Linked DNA regions of Canis lupus familiaris. The protein of the gene in region 2 interacts with the protein of the main gene of each other region in a pairwise test. Links are inferred from orthologs where the notes say so. Each region holds a gene or a part of one and is shown on either strand. Other genes may lie near its edges.

The links.
Region 1: the proteins of NME7 (region 2) and FOSL1 interact in binary tests that used the Homo sapiens proteins (3 or more experiments, as listed by UniProt). The two-hybrid records come from large-scale screens. The link is inferred for Canis lupus familiaris from reciprocal best matches to the Homo sapiens genes NME7 and FOSL1.
Region 3: the proteins of NME7 (region 2) and SYCE1 interact in binary tests that used the Homo sapiens proteins (3 or more experiments, as listed by UniProt). The two-hybrid records come from large-scale screens. The link is inferred for Canis lupus familiaris from reciprocal best matches to the Homo sapiens genes NME7 and SYCE1.
Region 4: the proteins of NME7 (region 2) and KRT18 interact in binary tests that used the Homo sapiens proteins (3 or more experiments, as listed by UniProt). The two-hybrid records come from large-scale screens. The link is inferred for Canis lupus familiaris from reciprocal best matches to the Homo sapiens genes NME7 and KRT18.

Annotation. Positions count from the first base shown.
Region 1 is NC_049239.1:51,872,604-51,879,394, forward strand, and holds the end of FOSL1 (fos-related antigen 1), read left to right. Parts: intron 1-2,031; coding exon 2,032-2,139; intron 2,140-2,566; coding exon 2,567-2,977; 3' UTR 2,978-3,641; downstream 3,642-6,791. Other genes in the region: CCDC85B (coiled-coil domain-containing protein 85B), read right to left, coding at 4,488-5,096.
Region 2 is NC_049228.1:29,198,511-29,206,202, forward strand, and holds part of NME7 (nucleoside diphosphate kinase 7), read left to right. Parts: intron 1-681; coding exon 682-732; intron 733-3,525; coding exon 3,526-3,733; intron 3,734-7,692. UniProt on the Homo sapiens protein: Possesses an intrinsic kinase activity. Displays 3'-5' exonuclease activity with a preference for single-stranded DNA. Does not seem to have nucleoside diphosphate kinase activity.
Region 3 is NC_049249.1:41,695,839-41,702,855, reverse strand, and holds the end of SYCE1 (synaptonemal complex central element protein 1), read left to right. Parts: intron 1-64; coding exon 65-127; intron 128-725; coding exon 726-785; intron 786-1,094; coding exon 1,095-1,169; intron 1,170-1,782; coding exon 1,783-1,830; intron 1,831-2,154; coding exon 2,155-2,209; intron 2,210-2,871; coding exon 2,872-2,961; intron 2,962-3,189; coding exon 3,190-3,253; intron 3,254-4,031; coding exon 4,032-4,098; intron 4,099-4,177; coding exon 4,178-4,301; intron 4,302-4,376; coding exon 4,377-4,487; intron 4,488-4,638; coding exon 4,639-4,790; intron 4,791-4,972; coding exon 4,973-4,983; coding exon of another isoform or gene 4,984-5,050; 3' UTR 5,051-5,101; downstream 5,102-7,017. UniProt on the Homo sapiens protein: Major component of the transverse central element of synaptonemal complexes (SCS), formed between homologous chromosomes during meiotic prophase. Requires SYCP1 in order to be incorporated into the central element.
Region 4 is NC_049248.1:44,455,294-44,463,422, forward strand, and holds KRT18 (keratin, type I cytoskeletal 18), read left to right. Parts: upstream 1-2,656; 5' UTR 2,657-2,739; coding exon 2,740-3,159; intron 3,160-3,913; coding exon 3,914-3,996; intron 3,997-4,323; coding exon 4,324-4,480; intron 4,481-5,064; coding exon 5,065-5,229; intron 5,230-5,331; coding exon 5,332-5,457; intron 5,458-5,757; coding exon 5,758-5,981; intron 5,982-6,363; coding exon 6,364-6,484; 3' UTR 6,485-6,542; downstream 6,543-8,129. UniProt on the Homo sapiens protein: Involved in the uptake of thrombin-antithrombin complexes by hepatic cells. When phosphorylated, plays a role in filament reorganization. Involved in the delivery of mutated CFTR to the plasma membrane.

The DNA.
Region 1 (6,791 bases), on a different chromosome or scaffold from region 2:
TGATCGAGTCCCATGTTGGGCTCCCTGCATGGAACCTGCTTCTCCCTCTGCCTGTGTCTCTGCCTCTCTCTCTTTCTCATGAATAAGTAAATAAAATCTAAAAAACAAACAAAAAACAAACAAACAAACAAACAAAAAACAGACTTAGAAAGGGAGTGCTGGGGAAGAAGAGCCACTGATGACTCCTGGCCAAAGCTGAGAGTAATAGGAGCCCTTGGGGTGATCCAGAGGGCAAGAGGTGATTCTAGGCTAGGGAAAGCTTTCTGAAGCTGGAGGTATATTAGCCCAGAAGGATGGGTAGGATCTTCATAGATAGAGATGAAAGAAAAGACATTTCAGGGAGAGAGGATGGCAGGAACAAGAATGGAGGTGGACATGAGAACGTGTAAGGTGTACATGTGGAAAGGTGGATGGATGGTAGAGGGTATCCCTGCTGAGATGTATGCTGTCTATGTGCTGGGAGGGAACAGAAAGGGGAGGGTTCCCTGTAGCTACTCTCTGGGGCTGTTTCCCTATCTCATTTAATCTTTACAAATAGCCTCTAGGGATGCACTCTGGTTTTCTCCACTTTACAGCTGGGAAATGAAGGCACAGAGGTAGTCACTTGCCCAGATTACACAAGTAGTGAGTAATGAGACAGGTCTTTTCAATTCTAAAGTGAGATCCTAACCATCAAGCCACACTATCTCATCCAGAGCTAACAGAGGCTCGAAGCAGAGTGAGTTGGGAACTCTTGACTCCCCAACCAGGGCTCCTGCCTTCACACTAAAAAAAAAAAAAAAAAAAATCTTTACCAACATAAATAAGAGATAGAGGGTCTTTAAGGGAGTTGCTCCTCTTTCATTTTGGTTTATGAGACTGTACTGGAGTGAGACTTACTCATTAAGGAGCTTGCCCTGACAGCAGGGTAGATGAGAAGTCAGGATCTTGCAAAGATGAACAGTTAGACAGGAGTGGCTTTCCCAGAAACAGCAGGATTGGCAGTGTGACCAACTGCAGAAGAGGACCATGCTGTGAGGTCCCAGAGGCAGGCTCCTGGACTTCTTTAGCCCTGACCTGAGGGTGGCTATTTGTTTCTGGGACTCCTAGACAGGGGCTATGAGCTCTAAGTAGGGTTCTTTGTGGGGGGCTGGTCCCCATCAGCAGGCCTCTCAATATTGAATAGAGTGAGTGGATTTTAATTTCTGCTCTGGGACCATAAAGGAGTTATCTATCCTCTCTGGGCTTCAGTTCCTTATATGGAAAGTTGGGAAAAAAAAAAAAAAGGAAAGTTGGGTAAATAATCTGTGTAAAGCTCTTAGCCGGCATGTAATAGGTTCCTAATAAAAAACAACTTACTAAATAAATAAATAAATAAAAATTAAAAAATAAAAAACGTACTCAGCAGCAACACTCATTAACTCCTCTTAGTGCTTACAAACCCCTGGGGAAGAGGACACTTGGGTGGCTCAGTGGTTGAGTGTCTGCCTTGGGCTTGCTGGTGATCCCAGGGTCCTGGGATTGAGTTCCGCATCAGGCGCCCCGCGGGGAGCCTATGTCTCTATGTCTCTGACTCTCTGTGAGTGTCTCATGAACAAATAAAATCTTTTTTTTTTAAGGGGGGGTGGAGAATGAGGGTCCTTCGAGAAAGAGCAGCTGGGTCCCAGAGGCTCAGAGTAATAAAGGCTGCTTCTGGCTGGGCAACGAGAGGAGGCTCCCTGTAAGAGTGGGGGTATCTTGGTTGAGTCCTGAGAGATGAGGGGGGTAAAGGTTTACGGAGAGTGTGGTGGCGATGGGGGGGGGGGTTTGCTTCTGAAAGAGGAACCAAAGGAGGCAAAGCTGGGTGCGAGGAGGAAGAAATCTGATTAATTCAATCTTACTAAAGCGTGAGTGCGGAGAACCAGTCGCGGCGCTGTGATCCCTGAAGCGCAGGCTCGCGGGTCCCCGCACGGCCATGCCCACCGCAGGGTCCTAGCACTGGGCCGCTGCACACGGCGAGTGCCGGGCAACCAGAGGCCAGGGTCTACCTCACTATTCCCTCTACCCGTCCAGATCAGCCCCGAGGAGGAGGAGCGCCGTCGAGTGAGGCGCGAGCGGAACAAGCTGGCCGCGGCCAAGTGCAGGAACCGGAGGAAGGAACTGACCGACTTCCTGCAGGCGGTGAGCACCCACCGGTGCGGAGGGTGTCCAGGCCGCGGCCCACCGAACCTCAGACGGGCGCGGCTCCCCTGAGCTTGCAGGGCCCCAGAGGGGCGCCGGTATATTAAGTCCCCTTCCCCCAGTCCCCGCTGGAGGAGCAGTCCTTCGGAGAAAACGACGAGAAAAATGCGATTAGAAATTAGTTACCGCGCGTCTCACTCCCAGAAAAGCAGGGGAGAGTCAAAGCTTCCGCGGACAATCTCCTTCGAAGATGCTCCCGGGCCCGAAGGGAGTCGTGCCCATTTTCTTCCAAGGGCTCATGGGAGTTGTAGTCCAGACTCGCTGGAGACCCCCCCACCCCCACTCCCACTCCCCCAATTACCACCACCTCCTGAGGCTACGCGGTACTCAGCCCTCATCTTCTAACTCCTCTCCTAACCCCCTGCAGGAGACCGACAAACTGGAAGACGAGAAATCCGGTCTGCAGCGAGAGATTGAGGAGCTGCAGAAGCAGAAGGAGCGCCTGGAGCTCGTGCTTGAAGCCCACCGCCCCATCTGCAAAATCCCGGAACGGGCCACGGAGAGCGACACTGGCGGCGCGGGCGGTCCTAGCAGCCCACCAGCCACCTCCGGCCCTGTACCTTGTATCTCTCTTTCCTCGGGGCCTGTGCTTGAACCCGAAGCATTGCACACCCCCACACTCATGACCACACCCTCCCTGACTCCTTTCACCCCTAGTCCGGTCTTCACTTACCCTAGCACCCCTGAGCCCTGTGCCTCAGCCCATCGCAGGAGCAGCAGCAGCAGCGGGGACCCATCCTCTGACCCTCTCGGCTCCCCCACCCTCCTTGCCTTATGAGGCACCTCAGCCCCGGTACCTGGGGATGCCACTCTAGCCAATGTCTCCCCACCCATTGGTCCAGCTGGTCTGGACCATAATCCCATGCCCTCTTCAGGTTCTTCTCCATTCCTCCAGATGACACTGAGCATATTTTGCTTCCTAGTAGAGCCAGCTTGGGGTCATGTAACTGCCCACTGTTTTTCCAGAGCTGGCTTCTTTAGCACAATTTGCACTAAATCAGAGACAAAATATTTCCCATTTGTGCGAGAAAACTCCTGGCAACCAAAAAGGACTTTGTAGATCCCTCGGAGTCCTCTAGAGCCCTAACCCCCTTCAGACCACCACACCTATAGTCTTCATCACCCTCTTCCTGTGATCCACCCAATCCTACTCTGACAGAAGGTGGTATTCTACCAGCCTAGAACACTAACTCGCCCAGCCCCACACTGCCAGCAGCACCAAGTGATTGAACCAGGGCATTCTGCTGGCCCCTCCTGAATGGTAGGAGAGTGCCAGAGGCTTCTGTGACGAGCTGAACTGCACCCCCCCCCCCTCCCCAGCTCTGAGAAGACTTTAGCTCCAGGGAATCCAAGCCTCCAAAACGAAGGCAGCTGCTATTTATTTTCCTACAGAGAGTATTTTTATACAAACCTGCCAAAATGGAATAAAAGGCTCGAAGCTCTGTCCTGGTCTCACTGAACCCAGAAGCAAAAGGGAGAACATTTCGAACCAGACGCCCTAGGCTCCGGTCTCAGTTCTACAGACTTACTGCATGACTTTGGAAAATTATTTGATATCTGGACCTCAGTTGTCTTATCTGAGGAATTGTTACATCTGCTATGCCTCATCTCCAAGATTGAAAGGAGGAATGGAGTGCTGCTGGGTGCAAACTAAAAGGATTATCTGTCTTTCTCCTGATGGGGGCCCACAGCTCGCCTGCGTGGGCCACAGGAGGGCGCTCTTATGCCCTTTTCAGCCTCGGGGGAGGCCGCTGAGTGGGTTCTAGGCCCCCAACACCTGCTTCCTGCCCCATTGTCTTGGACAGGAAGGAGCCGGGAAGGGAGCTGGAGCCACTTCAGGGGCCGGATTACGGCCCCTCCGGAGGTCTAATGGGGGGAGCTAGGGGCTTACCACCGTCCCACATCCTGCCCCAGGCTTGAGGGAGTGGGGGAGTCAGCCACCTTAGTTCTGCAGCCCCTCCGGACGGTAATGGTACCCCGTCTCAACGTCCCCGCCCTCGTCCCACCCCGGGGAGTCCCAAACAGACGCAGCCCAGGCCAGGGGCTCTGCTTCCGTTCCAGTTTATTAGCCCCCACCCCGCTCCCAGCACGTCCCTCCGCTCCAGCCTCCAGTCTCCCTGCTGCCCCACCAAGAGAAAGCAAGGGGCCCTCCTCGGTGCCAGAGTTTCCAAATCCATGCCAGCGGCCCCTCGTGCACAGGCGGGACGGCGTCCGGGTCCGGAGGTCCACCGCAGTCCCGGCGCTTGGGAAGCAGTCTGGTCGGGCGTCGACGTGAAGGAAGATGAGCCTCAGTCATCCGGGGAGCAGGCCAGGGGCAACTGATCTGGACTGCCCACGCTGCCGGTGCTGGAGCTTCCATCGCCCAGGTCGCGGGGCCCGCAGGGGGGCAAGGCGAGCTCGGGTGTCGGCCCGGAGCTTGAGCCGCCAGCGCCGCCGGGGCCGCCCCGGGGGCCCCACTCCTCACCCAGAGCCAGGCAGAGCTCCTTAAGCGCCAGGTTCTCCCGCAGCAGCTCCTCCTGGCGGCCCTCCAGCTCGGCCAGCTTCTGCCAACAACCGCCCAAGTCCTCGCGCACGGCTCGGGATGCTTGGGTCCCGAAGAGCTGCCACTGGCGCGCGGCGCGCCGCCCGCGCTGGCGCTCCGAGTCCAGGAAGCAGCAGAGGTCGCGCAGCTCGCGGTTCTCCGCCTGTAAGCGCCGGTTGAGCTGCTTGAGCTCGCGGATCTCGCCCAGGTGACCCTGCAGCTGCCGATTCACCTCCTGCATGAGGCGGCCGCGCTGCACCAGAGCCGCCAGGCGTGCCGCCTCCTCCCGCCGCAGGCGCCGCACCAGCTCTTCCTTGCCTAGCGCCGCCATCTCCTCGTCCGTCAGCTCCTCCAGGCCGCCCGCCTCGGCCTCCATGGCTGCTCAGGCCTCTGGAGCATCGCCTGTCCGCCGCCGCGGCCCAGGAGCCCACGTCGAGCTCTGCGCGCTCGGGGTCGGGCTCCGGCTCCGCGGGCCGCAGGCTGTGGCGGGGTAGCGTAGGCTGCAGCAGCCGCCCGGGCGTGGGCACGCGGCGGGGCGCGCGCTGGGGCGGGGCCGTATGACGTTAAGGAACGACAGCCAATCCAGAGAAGGCTCCCCTGAAAGGGGCGGGGCTTGAGCACGGAACACAGAGAAGGAGCGAGCCCCTTCCCCGCCCACTCCAGACCCAGGAGTGACCCTTCCATACGCTGGGTCCCAGCGCCACCACCCTCCGCGACAGGTAACCCTAAACTAGGCGCTTCGTACTTCCCAGTTCCAAATTTCCTCACGCTCTAGCCTAGGCCTCTCGACTCTTTCTGAGAACTTAGACTCCGGTGTCGGCCACCGACTCTCAAGCCCACCCCTGACGGAACCCAGAGGGGTCTCGTCTCCAACTTTTCTAGCTTAATTCATGCTCGAGAGTCTCGGCTCATTGAACATCACTTCCAGCTCTTCGGAACCCGGAGTCCAAACGTGCCTGGCTCACCATCAGGCTACCCTCTTAAGGATGGTTTCCTGTCCAGGGTGGGGGCGGAGGGTGGGGAGGCACATACAGGGATTCATTTATTCAATAAACTTTTACTGTGTGCAAAGCTCGGGCAGAAATAAACTTGACTAAGATTCTGATCCTGTCCTCAAAGAGGTCATAATTTAGTGGGGGAGACAGGCTGTGTTAAACAAGAAGTAAACGCGGGGAGAGACATGGTCCAGAAAGGTTTCCCCGAAGAGGTGGTAATCTGAGGGGCCCTGAAAGATGTATAGGACTTTGATGAGTAAAGAGCTATTTCAGCAAGCAGGAATAGCGTGGTGAAACACCATGGGGGCCTAGCTGCTTTAGGAACCCTGAGAGTAGCTCATTGTTTTCAAAAGATGGGTGTGTGGAGAAAATGGTAACCTGAGGGAGAGAAGCCACAAAGGTAGTTGGCAGGAACGTTGCCACAGGCAAGTAGGATTTTAAGCAGGGGAGTAACATTTTAAAATATACATTAAAAAAATTATTCAGGCTGTTCTGTGTGGGATGCACCAAGGGGAAGAGATGTAGGCAGGGAGATTAGTAAAAAACACTGTGTCAATGGGCAAGGTAGAGCCATGCAGGACTGGGCTGGAACAGTGCCCGTAGGGGTGGAGAGGACGAAACCTAGAAATACTCAGGAAGCAAATCAGCAGAACTGAATGTGAGGAAAGAGGACTCTGGGAGAAAACCCAGGGTTCTGGCATGAGAACTGGGTAAATGTTGGGACTATCACTGAGATAGGAACGAAGGAAAGAAACAGATTGGAAAAAAGGCTGTCTAGCTTTTGAGGGGCCTGTAGGGAAACAGCGTAGAAAAACAAGCAGCTCGGCAGCCCTCCTGATGTGGACTTCCCAGGCAGAGCTCCGAGCTCCGAGTAAGAGAAGTCATTAGTGCGGGGCGGGCTGGGATGGGGGCGACGAGGGTTAAAACCAATGGCCCTTGGACATTAGGTCAGACACACTTTCTGCAGAGAAAAGATTCAGGACAGAGATCTGTGAAACTCCTACATTTAAGACACAAGTCAAAGTAGGGAGGCCCAGAAAAGGGCAGAGAAAGGGGGAGATGGGGGAAGGTGGCCG
Region 2 (7,692 bases):
CTTTCAGTGTCTCTGTAGATATTCTTTGTGGGAGTATAGATGCAAAAGATAAATCCCTATTGCCCTTATTAAATTCTGAATATCTCCATGTTACCCTCCCTTTTCTGGTGATATCAGTTAAAACATTTGTTTTTTAATACATTAATAACCAATAAGAATACATTGATATGCTTAACTTGTCAAGCATATCTTAAACACACAAGATCTAAGAGAGAAAACTATAACTATTAAGTTTAAATTCTAGTCTACCCTTTCAAGTTAAAAACCTGAAGAAGAAAGTGACTAATTTTGAATTTGAAGATAGCTTTGCATTTTTTTAATGTAACTTATTTGATATCTAAAGAACAAATAACTCTTATTGGTCAAATGTTAAACTTTGTTTCAAGAATGTTAAAGATGCTGGTGCAAAGGAAGATTGTAGATATGAACGTGAGCAGAAAATGAAATCGTGCCTCTTACATTCATTGTAATTTTACATCTTAATAGATATTCAAGTAGCAAAAAATTTGAAAGGTGGGAGGATTTGAGTAGAATATTTGGTGAAAAGTCATTAATCAGTTTACATACGGATCAAATAAATAGAGGATTTCATCTTTATTTTATTAATGCAAGCAAAAATATTTTAGTAAAATAATTTTTAAGATATAATTCTTACCTGTTGTCATTTTGATTATTTTTCAGGAAAGAAGCAACAGATTTTCATATAGATCATCAGTCAAGGCCCTTTTTAAAGTAGGTGCTGACTTTGGGGCAAGTGGGTTTTCAATGGAGGATATCCCAGAAAACTAAAGAATCGTAGTTTTACAATTCAGAAAGTTTTGACCTGGAAATCATCTGTCAAAAGGACCATAGCAACATCTTGCAGCTGTAGAGAACTGTTTTCTAAGAATTGTTTTTTTCTGTCCTTTTATTAGATTAGGATTTTTATTTCATAATTAAATATCTTAAACTATCATCAGAAGCAAATAGGATAATTTATTTAAATTATAAATGTCAAAAAAAAATTATAAATGTCATAGGTTTCTTTTTAGATTTCAGTAGATTAAAATAGAGTGATAATTATATTTTATGTTAAGTATTTTTTTAATGGTTTTTAAGATTTTTGAGTAATCTCTATACCCAACATGGGGTTTAAACTCACAGCTCTTATGACTGAGCCAGCCACGTGCCCCTGGGTTGAGTGCTTTTGTTGTGCTCTTGGCATTCCTGTGTACATAAAACGATGTTAATGGAACCCTTATTTTTTCACTAATACTTTTGTTCCTTGAAATAGAGCAACTAATATATGTTAGAAACTGATGTTCTAAATATTTGGGATGTATTTAAATTTAAGTGAATATTGTGAAAATTATATTACTATTGACAAAGAAATGCTTACATTTCTAATAAAGAAGGATATTAAGCTGCTATAATAAACATGCTATTTGGTATCCTGCATATGATAGAGTTTTTTAAAATTGTATATGAGAAAATTATTATGTTAGAGATTAGTTTAAATCAAGTAGTATAAAATATTCCCAAGCCTTGTTAGAATATATAATTTTCTTGGAAATTATTCTTTATTGTAGTCTTGCTTTATGTTTATATAACAGTACCTAATTTAATGTCTTATATGTAATTAGCATGCAGTAAATATTTTTAAGATTTTATTTATTTATTCATGAGAGACAGAGAGAGAGAGAGAGAGGCAGAGACACAGGCAGAGGGAGAAGCAGGCTCCATGCAGGGAACCTGATGTGGGACTCAATCCCTGGTCTCCAGGATCATGCCCTGGTCTCTAGGATCACGCCCTGGGCCATAGGCGGCGCTAAACCATTGAGGCACCCAGGCTGCCCGCATGCAGTAAATTTTATTAAATGAATGAATTAACTAGTTTTCTGGTATTAATGAAAGACACAACAAAAGATGTAGCTACAGTTGTTGGAGGTAGTCTCATAAAGCAGTATTTTTTATGATGAGGCACTACATTCTCTGCATTATTACATGCCACACTCAGGTCATAGGCTTAGTCTACTATGTGTTTGAGAAATCTGTATTAACAGGACATTAGGTTATAAGTTTCTTGAGGCAAGGATATCGCTGAATATTCTGATTTGTAGTAGGTAATTGTTAAGTGCTTATTGAATGGATAAACATGGATTTGTTCTCTTGATTTTGATTCCTTAAATCTATTTTTTTCCTTTTTTTTTTTTCTGCTAAGGCCTAGCAGAATATGTATGAAGAGGTCATGTGGGCCTTTTAGAATGGAGGTTATGAATACTTCTTTGTACATCCTGTTTTTTAGAAATCCTCTTCAAAATGAATTGAAATTATTTAAAAGTATGGAAGGGAGTCAATGATTGATATAAAATAATCAAGAATTAATAGGTATAAAAGGGTCATACTGTGTGATTTTCTCCAGGAGAATCCTGTCCTCTCTTATAGCTTGGATGAGAGAGAAGCATAGGCTTACTTTAAAAAGTATTCTGTCCCTGCCTAACACTGTGGGAGGAATGGTGTTACTTATTTCACGGTTAAATTTGTCACCGTTGCCTTGTGCATGTACAGAAGTGGCAGAGGGAAATGAACTGTTGCTTTTCATGGCTTGGGTTACTGTGACTCAGTGCTGGATTTTTAAAAAAATTTTCATTTATTTATTTATGAGAGATACAGAGACAGAGGCAGAGACGCAGGCAGAGGGAGAAGCAGGCTCCATGCAGGGAGCCTGATGCGGGACTTAATCCTGGGGCTCCAGGATCAGTCCCTGAGCCGAAGGCAGGCGCTAAACCGCTGAGCCACCCAGAGATCCCCAATGCTGGATTTTTAATCAAGAACCTGTATGTATTCTTTAATAACTTGAGATAAGAATATCCCAGAGTAGCTTTTATAGGATATTTTTTCATAAATATCAAATATAAATATCAAAAATAAAAGGATATTTTCCCAAGACCTATTAATGTCTGTTTTTTCTTTATCACTAAGACCAACTCAGTGTTTATTGACTGAACATTTCTGACATTCTTTGAATTCTAATCTACACAAAAATAAATTCTAACTGTAAATATAAGACCACTCTCATCATTTTCTCTATTATGCAATTTTATGTAACTTCAGTGGTAAACCACATGAAAATAAAAAGGAATTTCCTTCTGTACCTTTCAGAGCAATGGGAAAAGCATTAATCAGTAATATGCATTTTAAGTCACTGAAGTAGCCTTAAATTCAATGAAACACTGATTTCTTTCTTTCTTTCTTTCTTTCTTTCTTTCTTTCTTTCTTTCTTTCTTTCTTTCTTTCTTTCTTTTTTTTTTTTGGTAATGGTAAATGATTTGGCAATGCTAGTGATCTGTAGTGACTCAGACTACCACAAGACACTCAACTTATGAAAATTTTATTTTGCCAATGCATATCTCACTATATCTGGTAGTTCTGAGATCATAATATTAATGTGTGTGTTGAAATACTCTAATTGTAATATATCCTTATTAACAGAGATACGAGGTTGACAGAAAAATGAAGCAAATCAAGCTTTTATCTATTTTGTAGTGAGCTTATCCAGTTTATTACAAGTGGTCCTACTATTGCCATGGAGATTTTAAGAGATGATGCTATATGTGAGTGGAAAAGGCTACTTGGACCCGCGAACTCTGGTATGGCACGTACAGATGCTCCTGGAAGCCTGAGAGCCCTCTTTGGAACAGACGGCATAAGAAATGCAGCTCATGGCCCTGATTCTTTTGCTTCTGCTGCCAGAGTAAGGTGTTTTAAAATATTTTAATTCTGTTTTTGTTTTTGTTAGATGTTTTATGTCAGAGTAAAGCATATCTGTCATGGCTGACTTCGGGTAGGTTATACAGATGATCAAGGAGTAGAGAAAACCTTTGACCCTTTGCCTAGGATTAAAGTGTTTCAATAATATGTTTCTTTTGTGAACTGGTAACCTGGTCATGGTCAAGATAAGTGTTCTCCAGTTAAAATACTTGTCATCTCAGTTTACATTCCAAAGTCATTTAAATTATTCAGGCTCATCAATGTTTGAATTACTGACTTAATGTGAGACCAGCTTATGGATAGTAAATATTCAGAAAGGAAACATCATTTAATATATTTTATTTTTGACTCAGATCTAACACTATCTTCAAGTTTAACATCCTTTTCCTGTACAGAGCTAGTGTTCATGAAAAAGTCTTTATGCTTCCTACAATTATTTCTTATTTTTAAGTCCATATAAATAAGGTGTAATACTGGGTTTATGCTGATGTTGATTTGATGAAGTTGCAAGTTTATTCTTAGCATCACAACAAGTTTCTCATCTGATGTAAGATGGCTTTTAGTCTGGTCATGCTTTCGTTAAAATAATATTAGACAGTTTTTTAATAATTGAATTTTCCTTACAGTTCCATCAAAAGATCCTTTCAGCAATTCCTTCAAATTAGACTTTGAATCTGATTGTTGTGGTCTAGGTCACTGTTATATTTTATTTGTACTACTGCAAAATAGTAGTAATTCTTCTAATTCTCTTTTCCTCTTCCTTTTCCTCTTATACTCAATTTATAAAAATTTTACCTTGCCCACATAAAATTAACTAGGCCAAGAGTGATCTTTTAAAAACAAATAAGATTAAAAATTCAATTATTAAAGACTCCTCAGTGAATTTTTATTTCTTTTATAATAGAATCACAAGCTTCCAGAGCTTCACCTGATCTGATTCCCATCTGTTTCTCCAAATTTATCTCCAAGTAGTGTCTCCCTTATTCACTGTATCCCAGGTTCACTGACCATCTTACTATTCCTTGAAGAGTGTATTTTTGCCTGGTCATTCAGTTAACAGGAAAGGAGGCAGAATAATTGAGTGGGAGTGAGGGAAAGAGGGGCTGATGAGGTCACAGAAATAGGGGAGATAGCACATGGTTTTGTAGGCCATGGTAGTATTTTTGGCTTTTTCTCTGAGGAAAACTGGGAGGTATTGCAGGGTTTTAAGTGGAGGACTGATATATTTCACTTGGTATATAAAAGGGCCACCCTAGCTACTGCAATGAGAATAGACTGTAGAGGATTAGAGTAGCAACAGGGAACCCAGTTAAGAGGCTCTTAGGATAATCCAGGGAGATGATAGCCTGCACCAGGATGGAAGCAGTGAGAGGAGTATAGAGATACATTTTAAAATGCTTTTAATGGTTGAAGGTCAAATGAGCAAGATCTCCTTCCAGATTGAATGTAGAATATGAGAAAAAGAGAGAGCAAGGATTACTCCACAAAGTTCTTGGCCTGAACAACTAAAAGGCTATAATTTGCCTAACCTGAAATAAGGAAAACTATGGCTAGAGTCAGTGTAGATGGAAGCTCAGGAGTTACATTTTGGACATTGCAGACTTAACATGCATGTTAGTTATCAAAGTAGAGAAATGGTAAGTAAAAAATCTGGTTATGCGAGTTTGGAGTTGGGGAGGGAAGTCTGAACTAGTGTCATAATATGGGGTCACTGGCACCTGGATGGTATCAGAGTCATGAGACTGGTTGAGATTACCTGGGAGAGACTACTTATAAAGAAGAAAAGAGAACAAAGATGGAGCCTTTCTGTTCTAGTAAAAGGCTGAAGAGCAGCAAAGGAGATAGAGAAGGAGCCATCAGTGAAGTAGAAGGAAAAAACTCAGACCTAATTATGTTCTGGAGGCCAAGTGAGGAAAGTATTTTAAAGAGAGAGAATGATCAGTGGGGTCAAATGAGGCAGATCTATCAGGAAAGAGGGGAGGCCGAGAATTGACTATTGGACTTTACACTACAGAATCATTGTAGAAGTTGGTAAAAGATGGAAGAATCGAGGCAAAGTCCTGCTGGAGTGGATTTAAAAGAAAATTGGAGACAGCAGATATAGAAGCTTTTTTGAGGAGTTTTGATGCAAGTTGAGAAAAGAAATAAGGTGGTAGATATGAGGAAAAGCAGGGTCTTTTTTTTTTTTTTAAGAAGAGAAGAATTACAGATGTGAAAAATTGAAGATGTAGGAAAAAGAGGGAGACTTAGTGGTACAATGTCATTGATTAGGTGAGAAGGAATGGAAATTAGAGCACAGACTGCACATTGGTGCAGGGATAGTCATCTGGCACAACAAATGGGAAGGCAGATTATGTCTATGTAGATGCTTATTCTGATTGATTCACTTTTAATAAGACAGGAGAGAGCAAGGTCAAAAACAGCAGAAGTGAGGATAAGGGACAAGGTGTTTATTGGTTTGAAGAGAGAAAAGATGTAAAATAATGATCAAAAAGACTAGGAACCTTTAATCTGTGGAATCTGATACTGTCTCTGGATAGATAGTGCCAGAGTTGAGTTGATTTCTTAGATACCTTGCTGGTGTCTGAGAATTGCTTTGGTGTTCTGTGTGAGTAACCCCTCCCCACATTGGAATTGTGTCTGGAACACCTAAAAGACATATTTTTATTGGATATTAATATAGGTTGTATATATTTAATACTGTTGATGCTGAAAATAAGTGGGTTCAGAAATGTAAGGGAGGGTTTATACTTTAATAAAGATAAAGCTAGTCTTGTCTTAAGTATATATGTTTGTATGTTTCTATGTTTGCACATATATAATGTGCTAAGGTTTAGAAAAATGCATATCTGCAAATACAGTTTACATAATGATTTTTTTCTTCTTTTTGTAGTGGAGAAGCTTCTGCAGAGTTAGCAGGGCATGATCTGCCCTGCTTCTGTTTAGGTCCTATTATTTTAGTGTGTGATTTGTTTGATCCTTTATCCTAAAGAAATGTCTTAAACATAATTTTTTCGATTTTGTACACTTAAATTTTTTAGCTCTTTCTGACATTCATCCCTGAAATATCCCATTGTTATGAACCTTTTAGGATATACCTTTTCTTAGCTCTTGTCTTGGGAGGAGTATTGTGGACATCACATTATCTGACTAGCTATCAAAGAGAAATTCTCTTGCTGGAACACACAGCATACATGAGGAAGTGGGGACAGTGCATGTAAATAAAAAATTGAAAAACATCATACAAGCATCCCCAAATAGTCTCTCCTTGATCTTAAATTCCTATTAGTTACTATTTAATCCTCTTTTCTGTCTTATCCAGACTATATTCACCATTTTCTCTTCTTCATTTGCCTTTGACTACTCATTGAGAGCAGTCACTACAATTTGGCTTCATCCTTTCATTCCACTGACATCATTTTGGCTAAGGAAAATTGTTCATTTCTTTTGTATCTTTCCAGTCAGAACCCTAGTAGAGTTTTTCATGAAACCTAATGAAATTCTTGCATAGAAGAGCCAAAAGAGCCACGGAAATTTTGAAGGAGAGTATTGGTGATAAGATGGCTAATTTATGCAATAGGAAGCCTTTTATAAAGCTTTAGTAGGAAAAGCAGTATGATATTGGCATGGGAGTAGACAACTATGTCATTGTAATAGCCCAAGTGCTCAAGAAATGACTGAGCATATCAAGTGGCAAGTGTGAGGAGAAACTAGAACCTATGCCATACACTGTTGATGAGAATTTCAAATGGTAGAGTCACTTTGGAGAACAAGTTGGCAGTTAACTAAAAAACTAAACATATTACCTACCCTATGATCCAACCATTCTTAAGTATTTTCCTAGGAGAAATGAAAGCAAATATCAACACAAAGACTTATACAGAACAGTTTTGTTCATAGCAACCTTATTTGTGATATCCAAAAACTGGAGATAACCCAAAT
Region 3 (7,017 bases), on a different chromosome or scaffold from region 2:
GTCCCATACCAAAGTTGTTGGACCCTTACTCGGGATTTTAAAGCGTTTGGTTTTGCCTCCACAGGGCAGGCCAAGTCCTCCCAGAAAATTGAAGACTTGCTGGAAATGGTGAAGAAGTTGCAGAAAGGTCACATGTCTCCTGTAACTGAAGCACAGCCTGAGCTTTGGGATAAGGCAGAAATGGATTCAGTTCCAGACCCCACAATTTACAACCTTGGGAAATTAACTCATTTGTTCTCTCTTACTTTTAAAAATTAATTCTTTGAAGTAAAGATACAGCCCCATGATTCAAAATTACAGTCTGAGGGGATAGAAGGCAAAAAATTTTCCCAAAACCCTCTTGCTAGACACCCATTTGGCCCCCACTGCATTTAGTTAAATCCAGGGTTTCAGTGTAAACCTCCACCTTAGCTCTACTGCTCTCTGCAGCCCAGAGCTTACCAGACTCGTTCCAGCCATGTTCCCACCTCATGGCGGTGTCCCACCCCCACCTGGAAACTTCGCTTCCCATGATTGGGGACCTTCAAGAGGTCTTCCCATGGCTAAAGAGCATGCCCTACTCGTTCACTCTTTAATTCCTTGCCCGTCTATTTTTCTTGGCTACAATTTCTACAACCTGACTCAGTATCTCTATTTTTTCATTGCCTCCCCTGCCCAGAATAAGTTCCTGTAGGGCTCCCAACTTCCCCTTCCTGTCATCACTCAGCTTCCTTTCCTTCCTGCAGCGGGAAGCCTAGAGCCCAGGGTCGAAGTCCTGATCAATCGGATTAACGAGGTTCAGCAAGGTGAGCTCAGGGATTAGCTACATGATTTGCAGGTTCCTTGTTGAAAAGTGACTTAAGTATTTCATAGCAGATCATTAAACCAAGGATGGGTCCATTTAAATGCAACTGCTATAGTCATATTGTCCATTAACCTGGCGCTGCTGTCACCTGAGCCCCCCAAAAAAGGCATGGGCTCTGGAAGCCTCATTTCTTGCCTTAAAATCTGCCCCCCACCCAGATTTCCTTGAAGAGAAATGTGAAATGTCACTGTTTGCAGGGAATCGTGCAGTTGGAGGCTGCACTTATACATAGTTCTGCTTTTTGGCACAGCAAAAAAGAAAGCCAGTGAGGAGCTGGGAGAGGCCCGAACTGTTTGGGAGGCCCTGCAGAAGGAAATGGACTCACGTAAGCATACCAGGGGTTACCCAGAGGTCTCTGGTGTCAAGCCTTCCTGAACTCAACACTCTGGACATGTAGCATCCTTGCTGTGGCCAAGGGCTCCTGCCCCCTCTGCAGCATCAGGTCCTACCAGTCTCCTACTAGTAGGGTGGATAGGAGTATTCCCAGAGTCCCCTCCAAGCATCCTTCCACCTCAGGGCCTGTGAGGCGGTTCAGCCCCAGATAGTACAGGTCCTTCTTGCCACCCGTCATCCTAAGCCCTTACCTTGAATGTTCCTATCTCCAGTAGAACTCCCCCAGCCATCCCATTTAAGGATAGCACCCTGTCCCCACCGGATCACATTCCCCTTAGAACTTAATGTGTTTCTCCATAGCACATATTCCCAGTTCATCTCTCCTCTCCGTGTGAACACACTGGCCTCCACAGTTTCCTCAGTCAGCCATCACCAACCCTAGGGCCCTTGACTGCTTACAGGGAGTGTGGGCTCAACTCCCAAGGGTCCACATTTGGGGTTGGAGTAGAGCTGTCCCAAAGTGCCTGTGCAACCAGGGGCAGGTGCACTCCCTGAGGGTGCAGTGGGAGGTCTCCGATGCCTGAATGTGTTACTGTGTTTTCCAGTGAGTGGAGAGAAAGTACGCCTGAAAGAGATCTTGAACAAAAAGCAAGGTAATTGCAGCGACTCCATCCCCCTGCAGAAGCCAGTCTCTCCATAGTAGCTGAAGCCCTTTGAAACCTGAATTAGCTTGTATTCCTCCTGTGGCTTCTACCAGCCAGATGCAGGACTTGATCCTGGAACCCTGGGATCATGCCCTGAGCCAAAGACAGATGTTCAACCACTGAGCCACCGAGGCATCCCTCCACTAGACTTGCAGTAAATGACAAAGTCCCATCAGGTGTCCACAAGCCCACACATGATCTGACCCTATTTTCTACATCCAATCCTGATGTCTTGAAGGATTTTCACGTGGCCCTTGGCTCCTCTCCCTGCAGAGACCCTAAGAATCCTCAGGCTGCACTGCCAGGAGAAGGAGAGTGAGGCACAGAGGTAAGAGCTTCCACCTGGGCCTTGTTCTGCCCACCCCCTTGATCTGGGTGGAAAAGACACCAGGAAAATCAGCTCTGGACCCACGGTTGCATTATCTTCCTCTGTAAAAAAGAGAAGCTAGATGCAGGTCTTCCCACCTCAGTCCCAACAGCACACAGTAAGGGTACTCTGACTCACTCAGATAATCATTCATTTGCTAGAACTACCAAATTATTTCTGTGGTTTTATTCTATGCCTGGTACTCTTTCTAAAATAGGCTCCTTGGTTCTCTGTGCACTCATGTGTTCCCTCATTTAGGCATCTAGCCACCCAGTGTCTCCATCCACTTCAATATTCGTTAATCCATATCTCCACATAACCTTGATTTAGCTCATTTCATGACCCAGAGTCCCCAAGCCCTCGTATACCAACATTGGAATGGTGTGGGAAATTTGGAGGAGATTAGTTATCTGTGTGCTTGTGCACCTGTGTCCATGTTGATCTCCCTGATTTCACAACAGTATTTCCAGGGGACACGTGCCCATGCCCCCCCCATAAAGTGATCAAAGAAGGACCTCAACCTGGAAAGCCAGAACAGACCCCAAGAGGAAGCAGAAGCCCCACCCCAGCCCTCTCCTGGGGAGGTATTCAGAGACTGTGAGAGCTGCCTTGCCTCTTCCCAGGAAGCATACCATGCTGCAGGAGTGCAAGGAGCGAATTTCTGCCCTGAACTCCCAGATTGAGGAAGAGAAGAATAAACAGAGGCAACTGAGGTAAAGTCCCCGAGGCCAGGCAGAGTGGTGGTGGGTAATATTAGGGATGGGGCTTAGAAGAGCTGGCTGAGGTGAGGCCTGGAGCCTCAAGGTGGTGAAGGTGCTTCCCACAGAGCAGAGGACGTGGGCAACTTTCATATGGTCTATGCATGAAGACCCCTGGCTTGGGCCAAGGTGGGGAGGAATGTCTCAGCACATGGCTCCTCATCTTGTGTGGTTGGTCTGCAGGTTGGATTTTGAGGAACAGCTAGAGGATCTGATGGGCCAGCACAAGGACCTCTGGAAGTTCCATGTGAGTCACCCAAAGCCATTCCTCCCACCTTTCACATCTTCCCTGGCAGTCCCAGGCCCAAAACTCATGATCATGCTGCAGGCCTCCTTCCTCTCATCTGCCACCCCCAGCTCCTGAGCTAGCATGGGTGGTCATATGTCCAAATGGCCCTTAGCTCAATCCCTCGTCATCATCCTCACTGCCACCCGGTGTCCTTCTCTTCACTGGGCCTGCCCATTCATCCCTTCAGGGGCCAGGAGGAACCCTGATGAACCAAGGAGAGGTAATCCATAGAGCGGATAGGAGGGTGTGTCTGCAGCCATGACTGACACAGGGCACACAAGTGGGGATCCAGGCAGACCATCCTGACCACCTAGGAGTCCAGAGAGAATAAGTGTTAAGATGGAGGGGCTCAGTGAGGAGGCCACACAAAGGCAGGTGGAGCTGCAGTGCCAGGCTGGTAACTGATTCTCCAGGGAACAGTTGTGATTTGTAATGTTTTCGGGATGTCCTGTAAGAAATAGTTGCCTCAGACCTGATCTCAAAACTGGCAAAGTTCCTGAACATTAACCACCTCATGAGCCTCAAATGCAGCATCACAGGTATCAGGCGAGACAGTTCCAGGTGCAGACAGTAGCCAGTACAAAGGCCCTGAAGCTGGAACATGCCTTGTGTGCCCAGAGGCCCAGAATAGTAGGAAGTGAGGCAGGCTGAGTAGAGACCAGATCCAGATAGACTTCTCTGAAGGGCATGGGAAGAGGCTGGAACACATGGACAGGCCTCCTCTCTACCTACTCAGGGGCCAGAGCAGATGGCCCGGGAGATTGACACCCTGGACAGCAGCAAGGAGCACCTGCTCAAAGAAGGTGAGAGCGAGAAGGGGGAAGCCCTGATTTGCCCTGCACTGCCCTGCCGTACCCTGCCCATTGTCCCTTCTTGCTGCAGAGAAGCTTGTGGAGGCAAAGCTGGAAGATGTGAAGCATCGTCTGTGTTCCCAGTTTGGGGCTGACGGCTGCTCAACCATTGCTGAGGGGCTCTTTCTCCGCAGCCAGGAGGCTGCAGCTGCAGTGTAAGACCAAAGAGGACAGGGACAGGGAATGGGGTGGAGGGACGGAGTTTCCAGTGCTGATGGCCCCACCCTCAGGCATCTGTTTGAAGAGGAGAACAGGAAGGCCCAGGGGCTCCTGGATGCTGCTACACATCACCATGAGCAGCTGCAGCAGAAGTGCCAACAATTGCAGCAGAAGAGGCAGAGGTGGGCATGGAGGCCCTGCCCCCAGTCCCCAAGAGGAAGGTGGCTGTGAGGGCACCTCTGCTCCCCTTTCAGCTCATCTCCCCATTTCTTTACACCCTCTTGTCCCTTCTCCTCCCCCCTCCCCATACTGACCCCACCCCTTTCTGTCCAGGCTTAAAGAGGAGCTGGAAAAGCTTGGGATGCAGATCCCTGTTCAAGCCCAAAGCAAACAAGAGGAAGGGGCTGGCCCAGGAGAACCTGTGAGACCTGGAATTGGGTGGCAAGGAGCAGAGATAGCTCATAAAAGGAGCTGGGTAGAGGAAGGCAAGGAAGGGGAATCACAGAGTCCTCAAAGATGCTCTTTGGGGAAGGGTGTTCTCATAGGGCATAACCAAGACAGGAGTACAGAGGCTGGCAGTGGTGGGGTGGGAAGGGGCACATCCCAGTAAGGCTGTGGGCACAGGGGTGCACAGAGACTTCGCTTCTCAGACCCTGACCTCCCACAGGCCAATCCTAAGCTCCTAGGAGTCATTCAGGAGAAAGACCCAGAGATGCCCACCAAGGAAGGCCCTATGCCCTCTTAGGCAAGAAGGACTCTCCCTACCCTGGAGCCTATTCAGTGCCATGAACTTCAAGAAATAAAATTACTATTTCAGTACCACTGTCTCAGCTGAGTTTGTGCAGGGGTGGTAGGGCTTGTCCAGCCCAAGACCCTTGACCCCTGAGGCTGGGTAAAACCTTGGCCACATCTCCATTTGGCCTCAGCCAGAGTTCGACGGGAGGTGCCCAGTATGTGCTTCCCTAACCTCATAGTCTCTGCTCATTTCTAGGACTACACACCCTGTTTTGGATCTCCAGGCAGAAAGGTGCACGTTCTGCAAACTCACCCTGTGATTATTTGAATTTGTTACTGAGGCCTGAACTATACAGAACCTACAGAACCTGGAAATCCCAAACATGAGGAACAAGGTGCTTGGGATCTCAGCCAGTCCCTTACCCACAGTCCCCACCGACTAGCTGAGAAAAAAATAATTGGAAGCCAAGTGTAGTTTCTGCTCTTGTGGGCACAAAATACATAACTGACATACCTGTCTATACAACACAGTATGTTAGAATTTTCCATGTCCTGGGAGTCAGTCACCTGAGACTATTGTGTGCTTTTGAGGCAGGTCTCAAATCAAAAAATGTACTCCCCAAAAAAAAAAAAAAATGTACTCCCCAAATCAAGGGCAGCAAAGGTAGTCCAAGTCTGGGATCCTAGGCCAAAATGCAGTGACTAAAGTAGAGATCCTTCCCTTGGAAGGCTCCCACATGCCAGTAGGGAGGTAACATGACAGGAGAGGTCCAAGCAGGCCACCAGTGTGGAGAGCACTGTTTCCACGAAACAATGGGAAAACCTAACCTGGTGAGAAATTATTCATTCAGCCAGACAGTAAGCATCAGCCTCCCAGTTTTCTACCTGAGGTGGGGTTAATCAGACCTGTGTCATAAATGAATAGGTAATCTCAAAGTAACTCCTGCATCTCCTGGAAATTAATATTTTTCACTGCATGCCGGTGGAAACATCACCTTTAAGAACTGCATCTCAGCCAAGCCCATGATGCCCATGATTGTAGCATCAGGTTTAGATCTTTAAAACAGGACACACAATTGCTTCAACAGATGAATGAAAGGCTTTGGCAAAATCCAACACCTATTTACATAAAGAAAAATTATAAACACAGGAATAGAAGGTAACTTCATTTATACTTGGTGGTGAAGTGTTAGAAGCATTTCAGGCATATTTAAATACTATTCATGACATTGAAGTTCTAGACAGTGAAATAGGACCAGAGAAAAAGGACTGGAACCTTCCCCTACCCCTGCTCACAACCACATGACTATCTGCCAAAGAAGAAAGAAAATCCTTCCTGCTAAGCCTTGCAATCTCCCTCCAGGCCCTTTACTTGGAAACCCAAAGATCGTGTCAGCTGGAAAAGGAGAACTGTAGCCCCATCACCACAGTGGGGCAATCAAGAGTGGGTTCCTAGCTGAGAAACACACTAAAATCCATAGCTGGTGGAGTCACTTACAAGGTTAAGGTAAAGGCAGATGACCTAGAAGAGATTGTTCAAAGATTAACCTAGACAAAATACCAAGGAGCCAGGACTCGCTAGGTTTGAAAATAAAACTGTTCCTCCTTCCCAGCTTCTCCAGTTATATCAGGCTAAAGATCACTTTCAAGACACTACCAGCAAAATGGAGCCACAGAGTAAATCTCAGACCAAGGGTGCTGCTTTAAGACCCTTCCTTGAGACTCTTGGGACACCTGGGTGGCTCAACAGTTGAGCGTCTGCCTTTGGCTCAGGACGTGTTGTTCCCAGTTTGGGGGTCGAGTCCCATATCAGGCTCCCTGTGAGGAGCCTGCTTTTCCCTCTGCCTATGTCTCTGCCTCTCTATGTGTCGCATGAATAAATAAAATCTTTAAAAAATGACCCTTCCTTGAGACTCCTAAGAGTGCACCTTGTATATTCTCACAGATGATAAGGCTTTTACAAATCTCAGAGGCTCT
Region 4 (8,129 bases), on a different chromosome or scaffold from region 2:
TAGCTGGCCCGGCTGTTAGCCCCGGCCCTCCCCCTCCCCCTCGGATGGAGAATGTGGGAAGGGGGAGGAAAGGGCTGACCCCTTATCAGGGTCATCTCGGAGCTTACTCAGGAGATAAACTTGCCTCTCAGGTTCCCGCTCCCCCTCAGCGGAACGACGCCAGAATGCAATCCCCCCTTAGAGGCGGCCTCTGTACTCCAGACTTTGTCTCAGCAGGCCACCTCCTGCCCAGGCTCCCAGGGCCCTCCCGCTTGGACGCCTGTTCCCCTTCCCTCCCGGCCACCGCTGGACTCCACTCCGCGGCCCCAGCGCTGGGAATCTGCAGCCGAAACTCCCCCCCACCCCCCTCACCCCCCTCGGAGTGAAAGGGCTCTGAATCACCCGGCAGTCTGGAAGGGGCAGGAAAGGGCAGGCCAGCCGGTGCTAGAAGCCCGAGGCTGGTATTTGCCCGATGCTGCAACAGGTCAGGAATGTGGCCATAGACATCAGCTATGGGAGATAAGACCCAGCTGGCTGCTCTCCCCCTCCGGCCCCAAAAGGTCCTGAGCAGTTGGGATGGGGTAGGGATCAAAGAAGTATCTGGGCAGGAGTTTGGTTAAGAATCCTGGGATCTGGGCCTGATCCCTGGTGGAATTTAAAGTCCCCCAAGGGTCTTAAGTGACTTAGACCTCTTATCATTGAACCACTTTACAATTAAATCGTCGCCCCACCTCGGCCCTCCTGGACGTGTGGAGGACTTACTACTCTGCAGTAAGTAACTGGTATTTATTCGTCTCATGGAGGAGTGATAACACTCACACCCACCGGCACTCAAGGAGATAGACTGGGTGGATGGGCTTTATTATTCTCCCTGTACGAGTGAGGAAACCGAAGTTTAGAGTGAGGTGACTTCCCCAAGGTCACACAGCCGGCCTAGAGTCCAAGTTGGCTGACCCGAAGCTTAGCAAAAACAGCCAAGGCAACACACCACACGTTTAATCTGTGTAAGGTACCGTACAAGTCTGCACAACACGACGGTTCTGGAACCCAGCGGGGGAAGGCGAAGGTGAAGGCAGGAGGAACCCTTGAAGGGCTGGCACCTCTCATGCCCCAGAAGCCTGCCATGCAAAGCGAGCGGGCGCCTATTTGCCTGCTACTTTGCACCCATTTGCCTCTTAGCCTTCGCAGGCCCTGGTGCGCCCCTGGCCGGCTCCCACATTGCAGGGCTTTCCTCAGCCAAAGGGCAGGCCCGGGAGAACCAGGGCCAAGCCCCACATCTGAGCTGTGCCTCCCCGGCCGGTCCCCTGGCCCGGCTCTATCCCTTCCTCCCCCAGGCCTGCCCTCACGGCTGCCCCCAATCTCTTCAGTTCAGCTGGCAGCTCGATAAGAATCAATAGGTCCACTCCAGAGCAAAGAGCAGAGCCGAGTGGACCAGGTCAGGCCCTGCTGGACAAACGGGCTGCTCGCGGTGACAGACCAGAAGGCCCTGTACCTCAGGATTCCCCAGGTTCACTCGGCTGGGGATGGCCACTGGCCCCAGACGGAGCAGTGGGAACTTCTTTGCTCCCATCCTTTTTACCTACCTAGGTCCTGGGGGACAGGCTTGAGGTCCAGGGAGGAGAGGCAGGAGGGGGGGGGGACACCTGCAGAAAAATCCTAGTAAGGATGGGGAGGGGGCTGGCCACAAGGGCTGACCCTACACCGTGTGGGACCCCCTGCGATCCCTTGATGGATTTCAGCCTCTGTTATTGGGGCTATTTTCCCAGCAGCAACTCTAGGAGGGTCTGACACACAGTAGGTGCCCAATAAATACTTGTTGGACTGTAAAGCACTCAGGAAGTGTTTGTTGACCCCAGGGTGTGGGTAAGGCTGACACACACGTGTTTAGAAATGAAGAGTGTTCGGGCGTTTAAATTACCAAGTGTCCCGCTGACGGCAGGCTTCCTTGGAAAGGGAGGGGAAGGGAGGGGAAGGAAGGGGAGGGGAGGGGAGGGGACCAAGAGGGAGGGGATTCCGAGAACCGACCTGTTCGTACTTGGTGGGTGACCTGACCCCGAGTGGGTGTTTGACAATACACATGGCTACGATGGGGCGTGGGTGCGTGCGTGCTAATGAACAGGTGCAAGGGGGTATGTTTGAGAACCGAGTGTGGCGGGGGTCGTGGTGTAGACTGGCAGATGGGAGACTCAGGGTTGAGCTTCTCTTCCTTTCCAGCCCCAAACTTTCCTTCCCCACGACTCCTGGGGCTCCAGGACCCCCCCAGATGCTCTCCACAGGTGGGAACTTGGGCTGCAGGCTGAGGATGGTTCAGAGATTCGCACCTGACGTCACTCACTTATCATCTCCCCAAACCCCCAAATTCCAATGTGCCGGGACCTCCCGTACCCTGGGGAGGAGGATCTAAGGACGTTATTTCCTGCCCCAAACTCCGCGTGGAGGGCCGGCTCCACCTGCTGCCCTGGTCCGTCCAGGTTGCTCACCGCCTCTGCGGGGGGTGGAGGGCGGCCTTGGCTGCAGGGTGCGGGGTGCCAGGGTGTTGGGTGCTGGGGGAGGGAGGCCGGGGAGGCGCGGCCCGGACGCGATACCCCCGCGGTGCACCTGCAGCCCAGCCTGGGGGGGGGGGGGGGGGGCGGGGCCTGCCGGGCCGGTCCCCACCCACTCCTGCCAGGATATAACTTCGGTGGCGGACGCTGCACCGTCCCTGGCCCGAGCCTGAGCCCTGGCCTCCCGAGTCGCCCTCCGGCCCTCCCTCCGAGCAGCATGAGCTTCACCGCCCGCTCCACCTTCTCCTCCAACTACCGGTCCCTGGGCTCCGTGCAGGCGCCCAGCCACCGGGTCCGGCCCATCAGCAGCAGTGCGGCCAGCGTCTATGCAGGCGCAGGGGGCTCGGGCTCCCGGATCTCCGTATCCCGCTCCACCAGCTTCCGGGGCGGCTGGGGGTCCGGGGGCTTGGCCGCGGGGATGGCCGGGGGTCTGGCGGGCATAGGGGGCATCCAGGGCGAGAAGGAGACCATGCAGGACCTGAATGACCGCCTGGCCTCCTACCTGGAGAAGGTGAGGAGCCTGGAGGCTGATAATCAGAGACTGGAGATGAAAATCCGGGAACACCTGGAGAAGAAGGGCCCCCAGGTCAGAGACTGGGGGCATTACTTCAAGACCATCGAGGACCTGAGGGCTCAGGTAAGGGGGCCACCCCAACCCAGAGCCTTGGCATACCCTGTTACGTGGGCGGCTTCTTCCTCCTCCCCCAGGGATTGGAATTTTAATGGGGTGGGGTGTCCGACTCCTTCCTGCTTTCTATCTCCACCCCGCCCCTCTTCCACAAGGAGGGGGTGCATGCCCTGGACTTCCCCCGCACACGCACGCCGGTTACAGGGACTCCAAGTGCGGTGACTGGGCATGGCAGGGCCCTTTCCCAGGCGAAGGGGAGAAGGGGAGGGGCGAGAGTCTTGCAGAGGAAGTCCGCGGCACGGAGGGAGGGACGGGAGATAAGGCCCCAGAAAGAGGACCTGGACACCTGACTTCTGCCTGAAAGAGGACAATTGGAGGGTTAAGCGGATGTGGCTAAGGCTGAGTCATCTAAGAGTAAACAGGAGGCCTACCTGTGGGAGGGGCCAATGGGGGCGAGCAGGGGGGAGGTGAACAGGTGCACTAGGAAAAAAATACCAGGAGAGGGCCGAGGAGAGGACTGACTGACTTCAGGGCAGGCGGGCCTCGGAGAAGGGGGGGTGGGAGACCGGTGGGAACTCTGGAATTTGGGGCCCCAGGAAAGGAGCGACAGTGTGAGGGGGCACAGGTGGAAGGGGGTGGGTGCACAAGGAGAACCTCTGACTATGCCTGGGATCGAGAAGTTTCCACTCAGACACAACACTGCCAGGCTCGGCCCCCATCACTGACTTCCCCTTCACGGAGCCACCTCTCCCCAATCCCCCAGATCTTTGCAAGTGCCGTGGACAATGCCCGCATCGTTCTGCAGATTGACAACGCCCGGCTCGCTGCTGACGACTTCCGCGTCAAGTAAGCCTGGGGCTGCTGGGGAGGCCGGGGTGGCCCCAAGAACCGTCTGGTGCCGGCTGGGCCACTCAGGCGGGGGCTCACAGCGGGATCTTTGGCTCTGGTCAGAGCGGGGTGGGTAGGAGCTAGGCTCCATGTATTTATTCACGGATATAACCCAGTCTACGAACATTGTCCCCCAAGAACCGAGAAGGCTGCCCAGAGGATTACCACCTGATCCAGACTCCGGCGGCTGGTTTGCGGGGGCCAGGGGCGCTCTCAGATGGCCTAGTGAGAAGGTCCTGGGTCAGAATGAGGCCCTCTGATCGCCTCCCCTCCCCCTGCCCCCAGGTATGAGACGGAGCTGGCCATGCGCCAGTCCGTGGAGAGCGACATCCATGGGCTCCGCAAGGTCATTGATGACACCAATGTCACTCGGCTGCAGCTAGAGACAGAGATCGAGGCTCTCAAGGAGGAGCTGCTCTTCATGAAGAAGAACCACGAGGAGGCAAGCAGGGGCCCCTGGCCAGGCCGGGAAGGAGGAAGCCAAACAAGTCGGGGGTGGAGGGCACTAGATGGCACAGGCCGCCTGCCTGTAAGTAGCTGGCAGAGAAGTTTAGAACTACCAGCCCGGGCTCTCCTTAATCAGATCATTGCCATACTCGGTCACCTGAATTGCAGTGTGATGGGGTCAAGGGGACATGGGTGAGAGAGCGAGGAGAGGACAAAAGATAGAAGCAGCCAGCACCACGTGTGAGGGCTGCTGGAGGAGTGAGGGCAGGTGGCGCTGAGAGGGCTTCCTGGAAGAATGTACAAGGAGGAGGTTGTGGAAGGAGGATAGATGGAGGGACAGAGTGAAGTGAGGGAGAGAAACCACCTGTAGGTGATAGATTTGGGCAGAGTGGGTGGCATTTTATTCATCGGCAGTAGAAAACCCAGGATTGGCATCGCCCAGAGTATAAAACCAAGAATCTTCTCTGCTGCTTTCTCCAGCTGATCCCACAGGTCTCCCACGAGGGACAGTTGCAGGAGAGGAGCCTTGTCGGAGCTCTGACCCCGAGTCTCTCCTCACTCTGATCCTCTCTCCTTTAGGAAGTAAAGGGTCTACAAAACCAAATCGCCAACTCTGGGTTGACGGTGGAGTTGGACGCCCCCAAATCTCAGGACCTCAGCAAGATCATGGCAGATATCCGGGCCCAGTATGACGAGCTGGCTCAGAAGAACCGGGAGGAGCTGGACAAGTACTGGTCTCAGCAGGTGCACGAGGGGAAGGGCTGGGTGCCCGGCTAGACACAGAGGCCTGAGGCTGTGGGAGGGAGGCGAAGGAGGGGGGACCTGAGGACTATACCCACCCTGCAGATCGAGGAGAGCACCACAGTGGTCACCACACAGACCGCTGAGATCGGAGAAGCTGAGATGACCCTCACGGAGCTGAGACGTACCGCCCAGTCCTTGGAGATCAACCTGGACTCCATGAGAAACCTGGTAAGCCTCACTTCACCAGCTCCAACTCCCCCTGGCCCTGCCCTCTGTCGGCCCAAACCCAATCCCGTCTCGGCCCAATCCACCCCTTCCTTCATAAATCTTATGCTCAGAAAGAGTGGTTCTCTGCATTTCTCACTGCTCCCACCCACGGCCCTAGTACCTGGCACGCCCTAAGTTCTCAAGTTTCCAAGAGATGGGATGAGCCGTCATGGGACTCGGACCGCTCTGCTAAAACTTGCTGAGACTATCCTTCCGCTCCATGGCGAGGCTCACCCGATCCTCCTCCCTGTGCCCCCACAGAAGGCCAGCTTGGAGAACAGCCTGAGGGAGGTCGAGACCCGCTACGCGATGCAGATGGAGCAGCTCAACGGGGTCCTGCTGCACCTGGAGTCAGAGCTGTCCCAGACCCGGGCAGAGGGGCAGCGCCAGGCCCAGGAGTACGAGGCCCTGCTGAACGTCAAGGTCAAGCTGGAGGCTGAGATTGCTACCTACCGTCGCCTGTTGGAAGACGGGGAGGACTTCAGGTAAATGGGCCTCTCGTCCCACCCTCACCAGCCGGGGCGGGGAGATGCTTCTCCCCAGAGCCCCTTTGGTAAGCCCCACCACGTGCCCGTTCACTGGGGTCCTCTGAGCACCGGGGTGGAGCTCTGCGAGGGCTCCTGCATCTCCAAGGGAGTAACGGTTGCAGAGGCCCCCCCAACCCTAGAGAAGGGAAGAGAGTAAGCCTTGCCCCGGCCATACTTAGAGCACACATGGAGTTTGGCCTTGGGTTTCCCTTTTATGGAGGAAGTAGTCAAAAGAATACGGAGATAAAGGCCGGGATCGGGAGGGCTTTTTCAACCCTTTCCTTGACTCCCTGCTACTCTGCAGAGCTGTTTATAACCGGGGCTTGGGCTTCTGTTACAGTCTTACTGACGCCCTGGACAGCAGCAACTCCTTGCATACCATCCAGAAGACCACCACCCGCAAGATCGTGGACGGCAAGGTGGTGTCTGAGACCAACGACACCAAAATTCTGAGGCGTTGAGGCAGCAAAACAGGGTACCCTTTGAGGAGCAGGAGGCCAATAAAAGGTTCAGAGGTCACTTCGTGTCTTCCTTGGCTGTTTTCATACCGTGTGCAGGTGTCCTGACCCCAGTAGTCCTTCCTCTGATCCGGAAGAAATCACTGCTGACCCCAGGGGTTTCATATGGAGGGGTGGGGTGGCCCGAGGAAAGGTCTGTGTTCTCTTCTGAGAACTCAGCTCAGAAAGAAGAGGGAATGGTTGATGAGAATCCGTCTTTTCAAATTAAAAAAGGGATAAAAGGGGGCACCTGGGTGGCTCAGTGATTGAGTGTCTGCCTTCGGCTCAGGTCGTGATCCCAGGGTCCTGGGGTCGAGTCCCACATCGGGCTCCCCGCATGGAGCCTGCTTCTCCCTCTACCTGTGTGTCTGCCTCTCTCTCTTTCTGTGTCTCTCATGAGCAAGTAAATAAAATCTTTTTAAAAAGGAGAGAGAGAGATAAAAGTAACAGGCACAAAATCCAAAAAGAAAGAAGGAAATAAAATTAAATATTTCCCATCCACTCCAGAGGTAACCACTGTAAAATAATTTCCTAAATTGGACATACACGGACACGTTTCATTTTTTTTAAACAAATATTTAGGAAGTACTTACTTTACACCAGGCCCTGTGCTAGGATGCTGAGTATATACATGGTAGACAAAGTGGGTATTGCCCCTACCTCATCGAGCTCACAGCATTTTGGGGGCTCCCGGCTGACTCGGTTGGTGGAGCATGCAACTCCTGATCTCGGGGTTGTGAGTTCAAGCACCGCGTAGAGTGTAGAAATTACTTTAAAACATAAAATCAGGGGTCCCTGGGTGGCGCAGCGGTTTAGCGCCTGCCTTTGGCCCAGGGTGCGATCCTGGAGTCCCGGGATCGAATCCCACGTCGGGCTCCCGGTGCATGGAGCCTGCTTCTCCCTCTGCCTGTGTCTCTGCCCCTCTCTCACTCTCTCTGTGGGACTATCATAAATAAATAAAAATAAAAATAAAAAAACATAAAATCAAGGGGTGCCTGGGTGGCTCAGTTGGTTACACATCTGCTTTTGGTTCAGGTCATGATCCCAGAAGCTTGTGCACTCTCTCTCTCTCTCAAATAAATAAATAAAAATCTTTTTAAATATAAGGTAAAACTCATTTTAGTGCATTTTTATGGGAGATTTCCCAGTTTTAAGAAGTTGCATGAGAACACAGCAATTACAGATGGTGAGTTTTACTGAAAACCAACACAAGATGGATGCTGACAGCTTCATCTCATTTGGTTCTCCTAATAGTTAGGACCACCTTGGGCAAATTACCCCGAGTTTCAGTTTCCTTGCCTATGAAATAGGGAAACAGATTCACTTCAAAAACATTTTCTGAGCTCTTACCACAAATCAGGCAGTGTTGTGAGGGTGGGGGAGCAGAACTGCACAAAACAGACAAAAATCCCTGCTCTCAAGGAACTTACATTCTGAAGGAGATTGGAGGGAAGATAAACCCAAACCCCCTTTCCCTTGTCTTGTCACTGATTTAAAATGTATTGTATTTTAAAAATATATAAAATAAATAAAATGTATTGCCCTTTGTGAAGTTAGCCTAGGCATCCCAATTCTCCTTCTGAGTTGCTCACCACTCAGTTCTCCTGTG